Linked DNA regions of Caenorhabditis elegans. The protein of the gene in region 3 purifies or fractionates together with the protein of the main gene of each other region. This does not show direct contact. Each region holds a gene or a part of one and is shown on either strand. Other genes may lie near its edges.

What was found.
Region 1: the proteins of srlf-1 (region 3) and ZC443.2 fractionate together in Caenorhabditis elegans (co-fractionation; one large-scale study listed by BioGRID). This does not show direct contact.
Region 2: the proteins of srlf-1 (region 3) and F09E5.3 fractionate together in Caenorhabditis elegans (co-fractionation; one large-scale study listed by BioGRID). This does not show direct contact.
Region 4: the proteins of srlf-1 (region 3) and marb-1 fractionate together in Caenorhabditis elegans (co-fractionation; one large-scale study listed by BioGRID). This does not show direct contact.

The regions. Positions count from the first base shown.
Region 1 is NC_003283.11:12,809,658-12,813,049, forward strand, and holds ZC443.2 (uncharacterized protein), read right to left. Parts: upstream 1,536-3,392; 5' UTR 1,502-1,535; coding exon 1,202-1,501; intron 1,083-1,201; exon of another isoform or gene 956-1,082; coding exon 695-955; 3' UTR 555-694; downstream 1-554. Other genes in the region: ZC443.1 (NADP-dependent oxidoreductase domain-containing protein), read right to left, coding at 327-401; ZC443.3 (Glutamic acid-rich protein-like), read right to left, coding at 2,935-3,093, 3,220-3,392.
Region 2 is NC_003280.10:5,372,440-5,375,724, reverse strand, and holds F09E5.3 (Putative deoxyribose-phosphate aldolase), read right to left. Parts: upstream 1,729-3,285; 5' UTR 1,722-1,728; coding exon 1,560-1,721; intron 1,500-1,559; coding exon 834-1,499; intron 788-833; coding exon 704-787; 3' UTR 560-703; downstream 1-559. Other genes in the region: algn-2 (Alpha-1,3/1,6-mannosyltransferase ALG2), read right to left, coding at 298-457; agt-2 (AlkylGuanine DNA alkylTransferase), read left to right, coding at 2,379-2,456, 2,512-2,641, 2,687-2,960, 3,013-3,233. UniProt on the Caenorhabditis elegans protein: Catalyzes a reversible aldol reaction between acetaldehyde and D-glyceraldehyde 3-phosphate to generate 2-deoxy-D-ribose 5-phosphate.
Region 3 is NC_003280.10:7,788,981-7,791,875, forward strand, and holds srlf-1 (SXP/RAL-2 family protein Ani s 5-like cation-binding domain-containing protein), read left to right. Parts: upstream 1-1,611; 5' UTR 1,612-1,651; coding exon 1,652-1,972; intron 1,973-2,131; coding exon 2,132-2,266; 3' UTR 2,267-2,395; downstream 2,396-2,895.
Region 4 is NC_003282.8:12,207,685-12,211,020, reverse strand, and holds marb-1 (Isochorismatase domain-containing protein 1), read left to right. Parts: upstream 1-2,010; 5' UTR 2,011-2,013; coding exon 2,014-2,093; intron 2,094-2,150; coding exon 2,151-2,328; intron 2,329-2,379; coding exon 2,380-2,721; 3' UTR 2,722-2,833; downstream 2,834-3,336. Other genes in the region: F35G2.3 (uncharacterized protein), read right to left, coding at 284-433, 480-764, 1,227-1,313.

The DNA.
Region 1 (3,392 bases), on a different chromosome or scaffold from region 3:
CAAAATTTTGTAAACAACTGAACCAATACAACAAATTCTTGAGAAATTATAGAGTGGACTCTTTTCTTTGGCTCATACAGATTTTTGAGCGAAAAAATTATTTTCTAGTTTGCTTCTCTGCTTCTAAATATTTCCGATAAAACATTTTTTGTCTGAATTATTGAAATTTGTTGGGTACAGCTATCCGAAACTTTAATAAAATTCCTAAAAATTATATCAATGTACAAAAACTGGCAATTTCAAGTAACATTACAACCAAGTGTTGAATAAATCCTTGCTAATGGTAGTTAATTTATTCTAAACTTCAAACTAATTTTAAATGTTACCTGCCAGGTACCAAGACCAATACTTGGCATGAGAACTCCATTAGACAGAGTGAAGATTGGAACTTTTGATGACATTTCGAAGGAAAATAAAGTTTGTATAGTTGGGGGTACTTCATATTTATACACAAACCGCAATCCTAATTATCGAATTAAAACTGGAAGAAAGACCTTGAATTTGTGGTCTGTGTGTGTGTTTCTCTTAATATATAAAGAAAATAGTTTGCGCTGTTCCAATTTGTACTTCGTTTTATTGAAATTAACAACATGGACGAGGGGAATGATGAGGAAAAGATTATGTCAAATGGGTAGAAGTAGACGAATAATGACGACTTGGAAGAACACAAAATACATTTTTAAGTACCAGAAGTTTAGGTGACTTGTTCCATTTCCTTTCCATTTTTATTTCTAATTTCTCGGTCTTTTTCCATCTTCTCCAGTCGTGAATTGGTGTATTTGTAATATCCTTCCTTCCCTAAATACCACATCAAGCGATATTCATGCTTTTGATTCATTCTCTCTGCTTTCTTTTTTCTTTCCTCAAAAGTTCGTTCCAGTTTCTCAAGTCGTTTCTTCTTGTACATTCGGTATTTTTCAATAATATGGTCGTTGTGGTCGGCAAAGATGTGAATCTAAAAATTCGATTTTTTTTTCAATTGTAGAGAATTTGGTGTATGTTGTTTCCTAACAGGATTAAAAAGTTAATTTGATGTTTTTGTGAGTTCATTGTACATTTTAACAAAATAAACCTACATTTGATATATGCCAACCAAACTTTCAAAATTTTCAGACTGGAATTTAATTTCAAATTTAAGACAATAATGCCAAACGTGTTCAAGATTTTGACATCTTTATTTAAAACAATTCTAGAAACTCACCGCCCATTCTCCAGCTAAGCCGTCTCTTTTGAATTGAGCATTTTTTAGAAGATAGTCATCTAATGAGTTTTCCAATGCAAATGCCGATGAATAATGAAATCGGAAAGGTTTAATACATCCAATTGGGTGAAGAGAACGGAAGAAATGCTGAAGTTTTGAATAGTTACTATCATTCATTGCAGCATATCCAGGGAAATACTCATTGAATTCTTCAATCGCAGCGACATACTCAATTGACATCAATTTGTGCTCCGATTTTGGGAATGTATCTCTCCATAGTTTGATTACTTTTTCGAACATTTTGAAGATAAGCAGGTTAGTTAGGAAGTGTCCCTGGAAATATTATTATTGTTATTATTATGAAAGAGATGGATAAATGTAGTAAGTATGCAAAAAGTAAATGAAAAGCCAATCGTATGCAAAAGAATAAATGGACAAAAGCTGTAGAGAAGCAGACAAAATGAAAGAGAACGAGAAATAGGATGAGGAACACTACACACATACAAACAAGGAGGCAACGAGTGGACCACCTCAAGCATCTTGTGAGTTATAATTTGCACACACCCCCCGTACACTTCCCCGCTTGTTTTTGATTTGATTTTGTAAAGGATGCAGAAAAAGAATTGAACAAAACAACACGTCATGATGCTCTGCTAGAGTGCTTGGAGCAAATGATAAGAGAAATATTAGAAGCTTTTATTGAAATCAGGTGGTCAGTGGGTGAAGCGCATGGTTTTCCCACAACAATGTGACCTCGATTATGAATTACAAGACTTTATGAAAAATTCGTACTTTATGAAAAATCGTTTGGTAAAATCTTTACGACTTACTTCCGTACTGGATCATCCTAGTGGGTACCTTCATAATACGTACAGTAAGCCTTCCACAAGGACGCAACTTGCGAAAATATTTTAAAATTAAACTCAACAATACTATTTTTAGTTGAACTTAGTTAAAGCTAGAATATGCGAGATTTTAACAAAGTGTTTATCCTGAAATTTAGTGCTGGTCTTGCTCTATTATTTGTACCTTCTATTGGAAACTTGACACCGTGAACTCATGATTTTCTATATCAATTTTCACATTTTTCCACCTCTTCAAAACTTTCCCTCTTTCAAGCTTGAAGTCCCTCTTCGGTTTTCTACAATGCTAACGAGCTTCAGTATCACGCATTACCCATGCGCAAGAAAATGAGAACAGACAAGAAATTTCAATCAAGCCTATTATTATTTTTCTCACTTTTTTTTCCTGTCTACTCACTTTCTCTTGAAGGAAAAGCTTAAAGCAGTGGCACCCACTGCCATCACTACTACAAACCGGTCATTGTCAACAAATAACACAACAACGCATTTTTGTTTTGTTGACGCCATGATGCGCAAGCAGGCATCTAGAATTATTATGCAGTGGTGGGATGGTAATTGTGAAAAATCCGGATGTTTTTACATTTTATACAAAAATTCATATAAGGAGTTGAGGAAAAATGAATACTTGAAACATGAATACATATGAAACAATTAGAGAAGTTACATTTCTATGTACAAATAAGAATGTTAAAAACATTTAGTTACAGTTTGTTCAATTTAATAACTAAAGAAAAACAAACGGTTCTTTGGCATTATTGAACAATTTTGAAAATGAAAAAATTCGGAAGAATGTTAATGAGAAATTTGAAGCAAGAAACACGTTACAGAGTGCACAAGTACCCGTTGGCAGAAAAGCAAGATACTTGGCACCTATAGCATTTCATATTCTAGAGCATCAACGTCCTTGTCCTCGATTTTCTCCAACTCTTCAATGTCACTTCCATCGTCTGAATCCTGATCACATTTGTCGAATTCTTCATGACTATCGGAATCACTCGCATCGTCCACAATTTTCGATTGTGACGCAGCCTAAAAATAGTTTTGTTGAAACTTTACGAGTGAACAATTTGCTTCCCAACAATTAATTAGAAATAACGAGAGAACCATTTTATTTATTATTATTTTGCACAAATCAAACTTTAAGCTAGAACTTACTTTTGTGTTCTTCTTGTCATCCAAGTTCAGTTGCTCCATAACATCTTCTAAAAGAGATGCTGCAATTGTAACTTCATTCGTCTTTTCGGGAACATCTGATTTAAGGTTTTCAGATTTTTCAGTTTTATCCTTTTTCACAGTTACAGATTTAGCAACTTTGAATTTTGCTTCGT
Region 2 (3,285 bases), 2.4 Mb from region 3:
TTAATGAGTACTGTAATTTCAAACTTTTGTTGTCGCGGAATTTTCATCAATTTTTATAGTTTTTCGATAAAAATATATTTATTTATGTGATATCTAAATATATCAACAAAACACGAATTTGGAAATTTTTTCAATTTTTTTTTTGCGAATTTTGAAAAATGAATGTTTTTATTGAAATTTTTGAGTTTTAAATATTTAAACAAATAACTTTTAACACAACTTTGTCGTGTCAAGACCAGTTACCGTATTTTTGGCACAAAAAAACGCGAAATTTTGCATTAAGGCAATACGACTCACCCAAATCTAGAGTTTCTTGGAAACAATGCGATCTACTATATTGATTCGTGAAAATCCGAACAGAGTGTCCTCGATCCTGTAATCCAACAGCAGCATCAACAATCAATCGTTCGGCTCCACCGATGCCTAGATCTGGATGGAGAATGGTTACCCGGACCATACTACCAAATTCAATATTTTAATTCTTGTATTCAATTTTTTTAAAATATGAGCATGGTAATATAAACATAATGTTATATAAACTTTTAATTTTTAGAAAATAAAACAATTTATTTATTCATTCCTTAAAATCTCTGTAAAACTCGGGGTGGCACAACCTATTGTAACATGGATGCTATGGCAATTCGAAAAAAAAAGTGAATAGGGAAAACCTTAACAAAAAAAAAAGATGATAACAAAAACTGATCTAAAGACCCTTCAGACAATCATCAAGAAGACTGCTAGCTCCGATGCGGAACAAGTGAGGATTGAGCCATTCGTCGCCGAGAATCTGAAAAATGAATTTTATAATTGTATTTAGAATAAGTAACACTCACATCTTTGACAAGAGCAACATAAGAGAGTGCTTCATCAACAGTTTTGATTCCTCCAGCTGGTTTGAATCCAACCTTCTTTCCAGTGAGCTCATGCCAACGCTTAATGGCAGTACACATAACGTAAGCAACTTCCAATGTGGCGTTCACAGATTCTTTTCCAGTTGAGGTCTTGATGAAATCGGATCCAGCGAGAATACTTGCCCAACTTGCTCTGTAGACGTTGCTCAAGGTTTTCAGCTCTCCAGTTGCCAAAATAGTCTTGAGATGAGCCGAGCCACAAGCCTTCTTGCATGCCAAAACCTCATCGTGAACAGTTTTCCAATCCTCGTCCAATGCTGATGCTCTGCTGATGACAATATCGATTTCAGTAGCTCCATCAGCAACAGAGAGCTCGACTTCAAGAACTTTGGATTTCAAATGATATTGTCCAGATGGAAATCCTCCGGCTACTGAAGTGATATTGGAGTTTAACTTCGAAGAAGCAAGGAATTTCTTGACATCGGCGATTCTTTGAGGATAGACGCAAACGGATCCACAATGAATTGATGGATCAGTTGGGACTGGATTGATTGCTCTTTTTGCCAATGCAACAACTTTGCTCGCAGTATCATCACCATTCAAGGTAGTTAGATCAATATATTGAATTACTTTGCGAATTTCGTCTTTCTGAAACAAGCATTTTAATAGAAACAAAGAAGAATTATGCTTATGAATTATTAATCTTACATTTCTCAAATTCTTCGCTTCTTGCTCGTATTTGCTGATGGCCTGAGCAATCTCCTGATTATCAAAATCGCGTCCAACTTCTCTTTCGAATGTGGCCACGTCGAAACGGCCCTTGTAAGTGTCACGAACGAATGAGAAGAGTGTTGGCACGATCGTCGCCATTTTGTGACTGAAAATTGAATATTTTTAGAACATTTTTCGAATAAAACGAGGAGTTGAAGAGGAATTATATAATTAAAAATAAAAATCGTGGCGCACCGAGCAAGATTGGTGCAAACACTAGAACGGAAAAGTGCACAACTTTTTTATCTTGGTGGGAAACAAGAAACAATTTTTTGTTGAAATAATAAATACTTCACAGCATTGAAACAATCAAAAAATAATAATTGTTTCAAATTAGAGAAAATAAGAATACTTTTTGTTCGCGAAAATGGCAAGAAAAATCGTGAGACCAAACCGATAAAATAATTTCTTCTTTATCGTTTTGTTCCAGTTGATAACAATTTTGATGATTGAGGCCATTCGATAAGTTATATGTGATCCGCTTATCATCTCAAAGGTCGTTTATTGAAAAAATAAGAATTATTTATAATATGCGCATTTATGAAAGTCACAAAATTACAATAAACCACTTTTAAAATCTTATTCTACACAAACCTACTGTAAAAGTTGTAGAGAAAACTGAAAGTTGAAGAGAGCATAGAGAAATAGAGATATACAACTGCTGACGTCTTTTCGGCACTCAGCTGACGCACTTTGCGCGCATCTTCGCAATAGATTTTCCGGATTTACTCTATTTTGGTAATACTGAATTCAAGTATGGCAAACGACGAAGAGTTCTTTATTGTTCGATGTCGAGGACCTTCAAGCTATCGTGAATCCGTCTATAAATACCTAGTAAGTTTTTTTTTGTATTTTTAGTTACGATAAATAAAATTCGCAATATTTTCAGACAGGACAACCATCTGATTGGAATCGAAATTCTGTGTTTTTGAGAAATATGCATGTCGGAAGAGCAAAAAATGTCAAAGAAATCTTCAATTGCATATTACAGACACAACCTCTTCCTGTTGTACAACCTTGTAAGATTTTTTTAAACAAAAATTTGTATTTGATTGATTTTTAAGGTCACCCAGTAAGACAACCACGCGAAAGCTTTTACTCATCTCATGAACATGATCCAATGGATGAAGTTTTACTACAAGAAGTGAAGGAAGAAGCTCATTCACTGGCTTTCAAAGGAATACCAATTGAAACCAAGGGTCCTACACCATCATCAACTATTATGAATCCTGAAGTTACGCTTAGAGACGTTCTGACGTTTCACAAAAATATTAAAAGAAGACCACAAGAGACAAAACCGGCAAAATTTGATTTCTCCGCAATGCCATCAACTTCTCGGTAAGTTTCGTGATTTTTTCAAATTTAAAATTCAAAGTAAAAAACTTTTCAGACTTCCACCTACATCTCCAAAACGCTACCGCCAGTTTGCACCTCCTCCAATCTCTATGAAACAGTCTCCCAAAATTTGTGCCAAAACTGTTTCGTGTCCGAGTACGTCCGAAGTAAAGAGCCCACCAAAAAAGATGATTATACAGAAGATACAGAAACATCAGGAAGCACCGAAACCAGCAAAAGTGCCAAAAATCAAAGGCGAAAAGAAGAAAAAAGATGGTGAGTTATTTTTAAAAAAATCGATAGATGTCTGATACAAAAGTGTCTATTG
Region 3 (2,895 bases):
ACTCTCAGATTTAATTTCATTGGTTTTCGGTCGGTATATGGGAAAACGTAGTTTGAGGTTATATTCTGTTAGATAGGTCAGCGAAAAGATTTATGTCGCCTATAAAGAAATGGTCCGTTTGTACATATTTGGCACATCAACTGAACAAAGAAACAATGACGTTTACATGTTTATGGATGACCACGTCATAAAACTAGAGATAATATCTGAATGAAGGAAAGTGTAGGTTTCCGAGGGCATATACAATGTTAAAGGATAAATAATGAAATTGTGTTTTGAATAGTAGTCTAACTCACGAAAATTCTCAAGAAAAATAGATCATAACAAAACGTTCTAATTAGAATTACGTTTTGGTAGATACATAAGTCTAGAGCTGTACAGATCAAGCTGGTTGTCAGAAATTCGATTCATTTTCAGTTTAAACTTAATTGTTCGATACACCTTCTGACCATCTTTCCATTCTGACTTGTAGCATTTAAAGATATGTTTCGATCATTGGAACAAATCAGAAGTTGTCATTGAAACCACAGAATGTTGGTGCTTGACAAAATGAAGAAGTCAAGAAAAGGAGGAACCGACAGTTTTATTTCCATATCAGGAAGTGATCGAAGGATATAAAATGGGATCGACTGAAGGCAGAAACAGGAAAGAAAACGGATTGGTACTACGATTTTAGATGGAAAAACCTCGAAGATGATACACATAAAACGGATAATAAAATATACTGAAAAGAGAAAAATGAGTTCAAGGCTACACAAACAACACCTTTTGTTTCAAATTTTACCTTATTTCATTTCTATGATAAGCTTAAAAAGATGAATGATGTCATTGAGGAAAGTGTTAAAATGAGACGAGAAAGATGTAAAGATAGATCTTCGTATTGATAGATACCGACAAAAGGTCAGACGTTTCATATTGATGATGGTTAGGGAAAAGGAAATGAAGAATAATGATAAAATCATTTAAAAAAAGCAAAAGGCCGGTAAATCGACTGAAAAACACTAGGTTTTGAAAAAGTTGGGAAAATTTTCCATGCAATAGTTCTAGAGTACTTTTTCGCAAGTCATTTCACTTGTTGGGAAAGGAGTTTTAATTTCGAATCGAGACAACTAAAAAATATTTTTTTTAACTTTTGTATTTTGTAGAGTGAAATATTTGATCACACTCCAAGAGTAGTTACTATTTCCGAGCCTTTCATTTTTCACGAAATCCAGATATTTGATATGTGACTTTCAACACAACAGTTCAGTTACAAGAAGACAGAATGAAAATCGAATCTGTAACGGAATTTTAAAAAATCATGAGAACCTCTGTCCGCGTTCTATCTCAATGACGTCTTTCTTAACTTCTGTTCCAATATTCTAAATTTATTCGTCACTACGGCTTCTTTATTGTGTTGAAAAAGTTTCAAATTCAGCGATTTTCCATCGGAAAACTGGTCAACTTCAGCGAACACACTGTATCTCTCTATGTCTCCATACTGTCTCATCTATGATCTACGTGTGGGAGGAGCGAAAGGGCGGCACAGAGAGAGAGATAGAGATAGAGAGGGAGAGAGAAATGACTATGAGCGTCGATTGTATAAAAGAAACTATTTCTGCTGGACATCCCTCATCAGTCGTCTTCTAATACTCTTTCTGATTCACTTAAAATGTGCCGTCTTGCCGTTTTTGCTCTTCTCGCCGTCGCCGCTGTGTCTGTCTACGGACAACCAGCCGGAGGTCAAGATGTTCCACCATTCCTTCGTAATGCCACTCCAGCTCAACTTCAGAGCTTCCAACAGCTCATTCAAGCCAACGGTCATTTGACTGAGACCGCTCTTGACGGAAAGGTCCAAGCCTGGGTTAACCAACAAGGAGGAAAGGTTGCTGCTGACTGGGCTGACTTCCAAAAATTCATCAAGGGACAACAGGGACAAGCTGAGGCTGCTCATCAAGCCGCTGTTTCCAACTTCTCTCCAGCTGCCAAGAAAGTAAGATAATGTGGATAAACCAACTAGATTAAGCCATATATTACGTAAAAGTAAAATCAGATAAACTAGTCGGATTTGTACTAGCACTGCAAATACTACATCTACTAGTTTTCGGAATAAAACCAAAGTATCAATTTTAATCTTTTCAATTTCTTTCAGGCCGATGCTGACCTTACCGCCATCTCCAATGACAGCTCCCTCTCTGTTCAAGCCAAGGGACAAAAGATCCAAGCCTACCTCAACTCCCTCCCAGCTAACGTCAAGGCTGAGCTCGAGAAGGCCCAAGGACAATAAGTGCTGATCAACCAAAGAACCTCTCAATTTTTTTTTGTAAATACCCTCACTCATTCTCTCGTTCTCATTCGATTGATTCCCTTTTTGCCCAAATGAGCTCTAATTCTAATAAAAATCGTGATGCTCTTCAAATTTCAATTGAAACTAGCAAACATATAAAAACTAGAATATTCAGTATAGGCATGTGTATCTATGTTTAGATTGGATGTACACTTTTTATGAATGACTGAGCGGTAAAGTTGACACAAACCTGTTTGTTTGCGCATACTAGTACTTAGGATATTGTGTAGAAAAAGTGCTCAAGTTCAGTTTTTTGAACATTGAAACTGAAAATTTTTAAATCGTAGTAAACTGGACACTGTCAAATAAAAATATTTCATGGTATGAACAAAATAAAGCTTTTAGAGATAAAAAACACGGCTTCATAACTATTGTTTTAAAGTTTTCAAATGATCGATTCTACTTCCAAAAACATATTATTTTCTCTACTCCGTGATATTCTCCATATGAAGAAAAGTACGAGAGACTATCACTTTAAGTTCAAGGTCTCACAATCTCTGATTTGTGATGACCCTTTTCTCTTCTTTTTTCAATCAAACTTAATTTGTTTCCCAATTGTGTTCCAGACT
Region 4 (3,336 bases), on a different chromosome or scaffold from region 3:
TACATCAAACCAAGATTATAGTCATGTCTACTTCATGACTATAATCTTGCCTATCTATGTTCCTACCTATTCAAAATATAGTCCAACATTTAAAAATCCTGTGAAAAAATCACGGTTGTGGCTTGGATTAAAAATGATTCGATTCAAATCAGCATAAATATCTCCCTACGTGCCTGCCTGCCAACAACTCTAACAAACATGTAATTGTACCTGATACATACAGTTTTTCCTTGCCATACTTTATTAAGTTAATCAAAAATTATTTCAAAATTATATGGACAAATTAAATATTATTAACTTTAAAAAGACTTTTAATTTTATTATTTTCCTTATTTTCTTCTTCACTTCCTTGCAACGCACTCTTTAAGTCATTCTGGAAATTTGTTTTGTTGAACTCGATCTCGAATTTAAGCAGTTCAATCATTTCGTTTTTCTGAAATTATAGTTTTAAAATTTAATTCCATGTAAGAAATCCGAACCTCTTTAATAATCTTTCTGGCTTGTACCAAATCATCAACCAACTCATTTGCATCTTCCTCCGCAAATTCCAATGATTCCAGTTTTTGGCTCAATTCCTTTATCACCTCGTTTCGCTCTTTCAGTTTTCTCTGAAGTCCACCAATTTTTGCCACAAAATCTCTTTGATGCATTCGAATTTTGATTAAATGATTGCTGATTTTACTTCTCTCTATTTTCATCTCCTTCTGGTGCTCTTTAATCATTTCCTCACTAGACTCGCACATTAATTTTAGTTGGTAATGAGCCTGCAAACGTTGTATATAAAAAAGAATGTCAAGATGCCTGCCTACATGCCTGCCTACCACCTAGCTCTATACATTTTGGCATGCATTCAGGAATTTAGTGAACCTCTAGAAAGTAAAACTGGGAAAATTTCCAAAGAAAATTTAGTTAATTTTCACCAAATTTTCGAAAGTTTTTTTTTTTAAAGTCAAACATTTTCCAATAAAATATTTCGCATTTTTTTCAAAAAAAACACATTTTCCCAAAAAAAATTCGATCCGTTCTACTGTCTATTTTAAAATTTAATAAATCTTCTCAGCTTTAAACACCTCTTAATTTTTTATGAGGGGCTCCAATAAATAGCTTGAGGGGAACACGATTATTGGAATTTACTTTTGAAATTGAGAAATTTTCAGACTCTCGAGAATTTCATTGATAATGCTAATAAAATATTCAAAAATATAAAAAAAAACAACAAAATTTACCTTTGCCTTTTCCTCAACTATTTGCAACATTAACAGAGCTACAGTAACCGCGTACAGTAACCCGAATAGAATCGGGAAATTATCCATTGAAAGTGTCATATTCCCGTCTTGAAAGATATTAGTTAACCACGACATTATAAAATAAAAAGATTGTCTTATAAGATAAGTAACAAACGAATGAATGAGCCGGTCGTCTTAGTCAACGGGTCAAGTGTTTCAGCCGCGTTCGTGAATCAATAAGAGCTGGAATTGCCTCCTGGCATTAGTGACTGTAGTCCACACTTTCTACTGCCTAAATTATCCATACAGGGCAATGTGATCAATTGATCAATAGGTTATTAAATATAACTATTTTATGCAGTGCAGTGTTTCATCCTTTTGGGAAAATTCACGGAATCAACAGGTGAATTTATGTTTTTTAGGGTGTGAACACAAATTGTTAATGTTATAATTGTCCTGGAGAGCCTTTAAACATTTTACAATTAATATATTATAAATAATACGTAGAAAATCAGTATTTGAACAGGAAAGTAGACATTTTAAAAATTTGAAATTTGAAAAACCGCCACAAACTCAAGCAACGACACTCCGAGATTACGAATCGCGCGTTGTTTACCGTAAATTTACACTAATTTTTGTTCTCTGAAATTTTTTTTTAATTGAAAAGCCGTCCATTTATTTATCTTTTTTTGTCAAATCCTTGTGTTTTACGTGGATGTTTGCATTTGTTTTTTATTTATTTAATTTCGAATCACTCAACTTTTTATTGATTTCTGTTCCTCAGGTGATGGCTGCGCGTAAGCTGATCGCACGTATCAACCCAACGAACAGTGCTCTTTTCGTCTGTGATCTTCAAGAGAAGTTCGCGTAAGTTTTGAAAGAAACTAGTTTATGAGCAAAAATAATTTATTTAATTATTTTCAGGTCAAATATCAAATACTTCCCAGAAATCATTACAACTTCGCGTAGATTGATCGATGCTGCCAGAATCCTGAGTATTCCAACCATTGTTACTGAACAATATCCAAAGGGTCTCGGACACACAGTTCCAACTCTCAAAGAAGGTCTCGCCGAGAATACTCCGATCTTTGATAAGACGAAAGTAGATTTTCAGATTTTTGTTCATAATTCAGTCTTATTCCAAAAATTTCAGTTTTCCATGTGCATTCCTCCAACTGAAGACACTTTGAAGAAAGTTCAAAATGTGATCCTTGTCGGAATCGAAGCACACGTATGCGTTCTTCAAACTACATACGATCTTTTGGAACGTGGCTTGAACGTTCATGTCGTGGTGGACGCTGTCAGCAGCCGCAGTCACACTGATCGTCATTTCGCTTTCAAACAGATGGAACAAGCTGGAGCTATCTTGACAACTTCTGAAGCTACCATTCTCGGACTTGTCGGTGGATCGGATCATCCAAAGTTCAAGGAAGTTCAGAAGTTGATCCTTACTTCAGCCCCTGATACTGGCCTCGTCCCGTTGTCGAAGCTCTAAATGTTTTCCGTTTACGGCTTCTTTTTTTGCCATGTAGATTTGTGTTTAGTACCTCACTATGTGTAATTACAGCATTTAACCGGTTTTCGTCCCATAAATTATGGTGGTAATTTGAGTCTTTTTGCAAAACGTTTCTTTCATCGCATCTCCTTGCCACCGTTTGACCATCACATCATGTTTCAAAAGTGTGGGTAAACATTCCGAAATTCGCGGAAACGAAATGCGCTTTGAAAATTTCAAGTGGCTCACACAGTAGAGCCCGCTAGTCCATTGACCTCCAATGTTTGTAGTTTGCGAAAATGATGGTGACGATGGTGCAAAGAAAACTTTCAGTTTTTTTTTTCAGAAAAGTCAGGTTTGTACAACACACATGCCACCACGTGGCAATGAAAAAGGCAGAGGCAACAAATAAATTGGAAGCAGAGACAATAAAATGGGTGGGTGATCTGATCTGTTGTGACGAACAAAATGATGATGATTGGATTCGCGAGCTGTTGATGAAATATGCAGAAATGAATCGAGAAAAAGAGAAGAAAAATACCCAAATATTCAAACAGACAGACGAAAAAAATGTTTTCCTGATTCGAGGAACGTGTTTTCTAAGTGGAACGACGG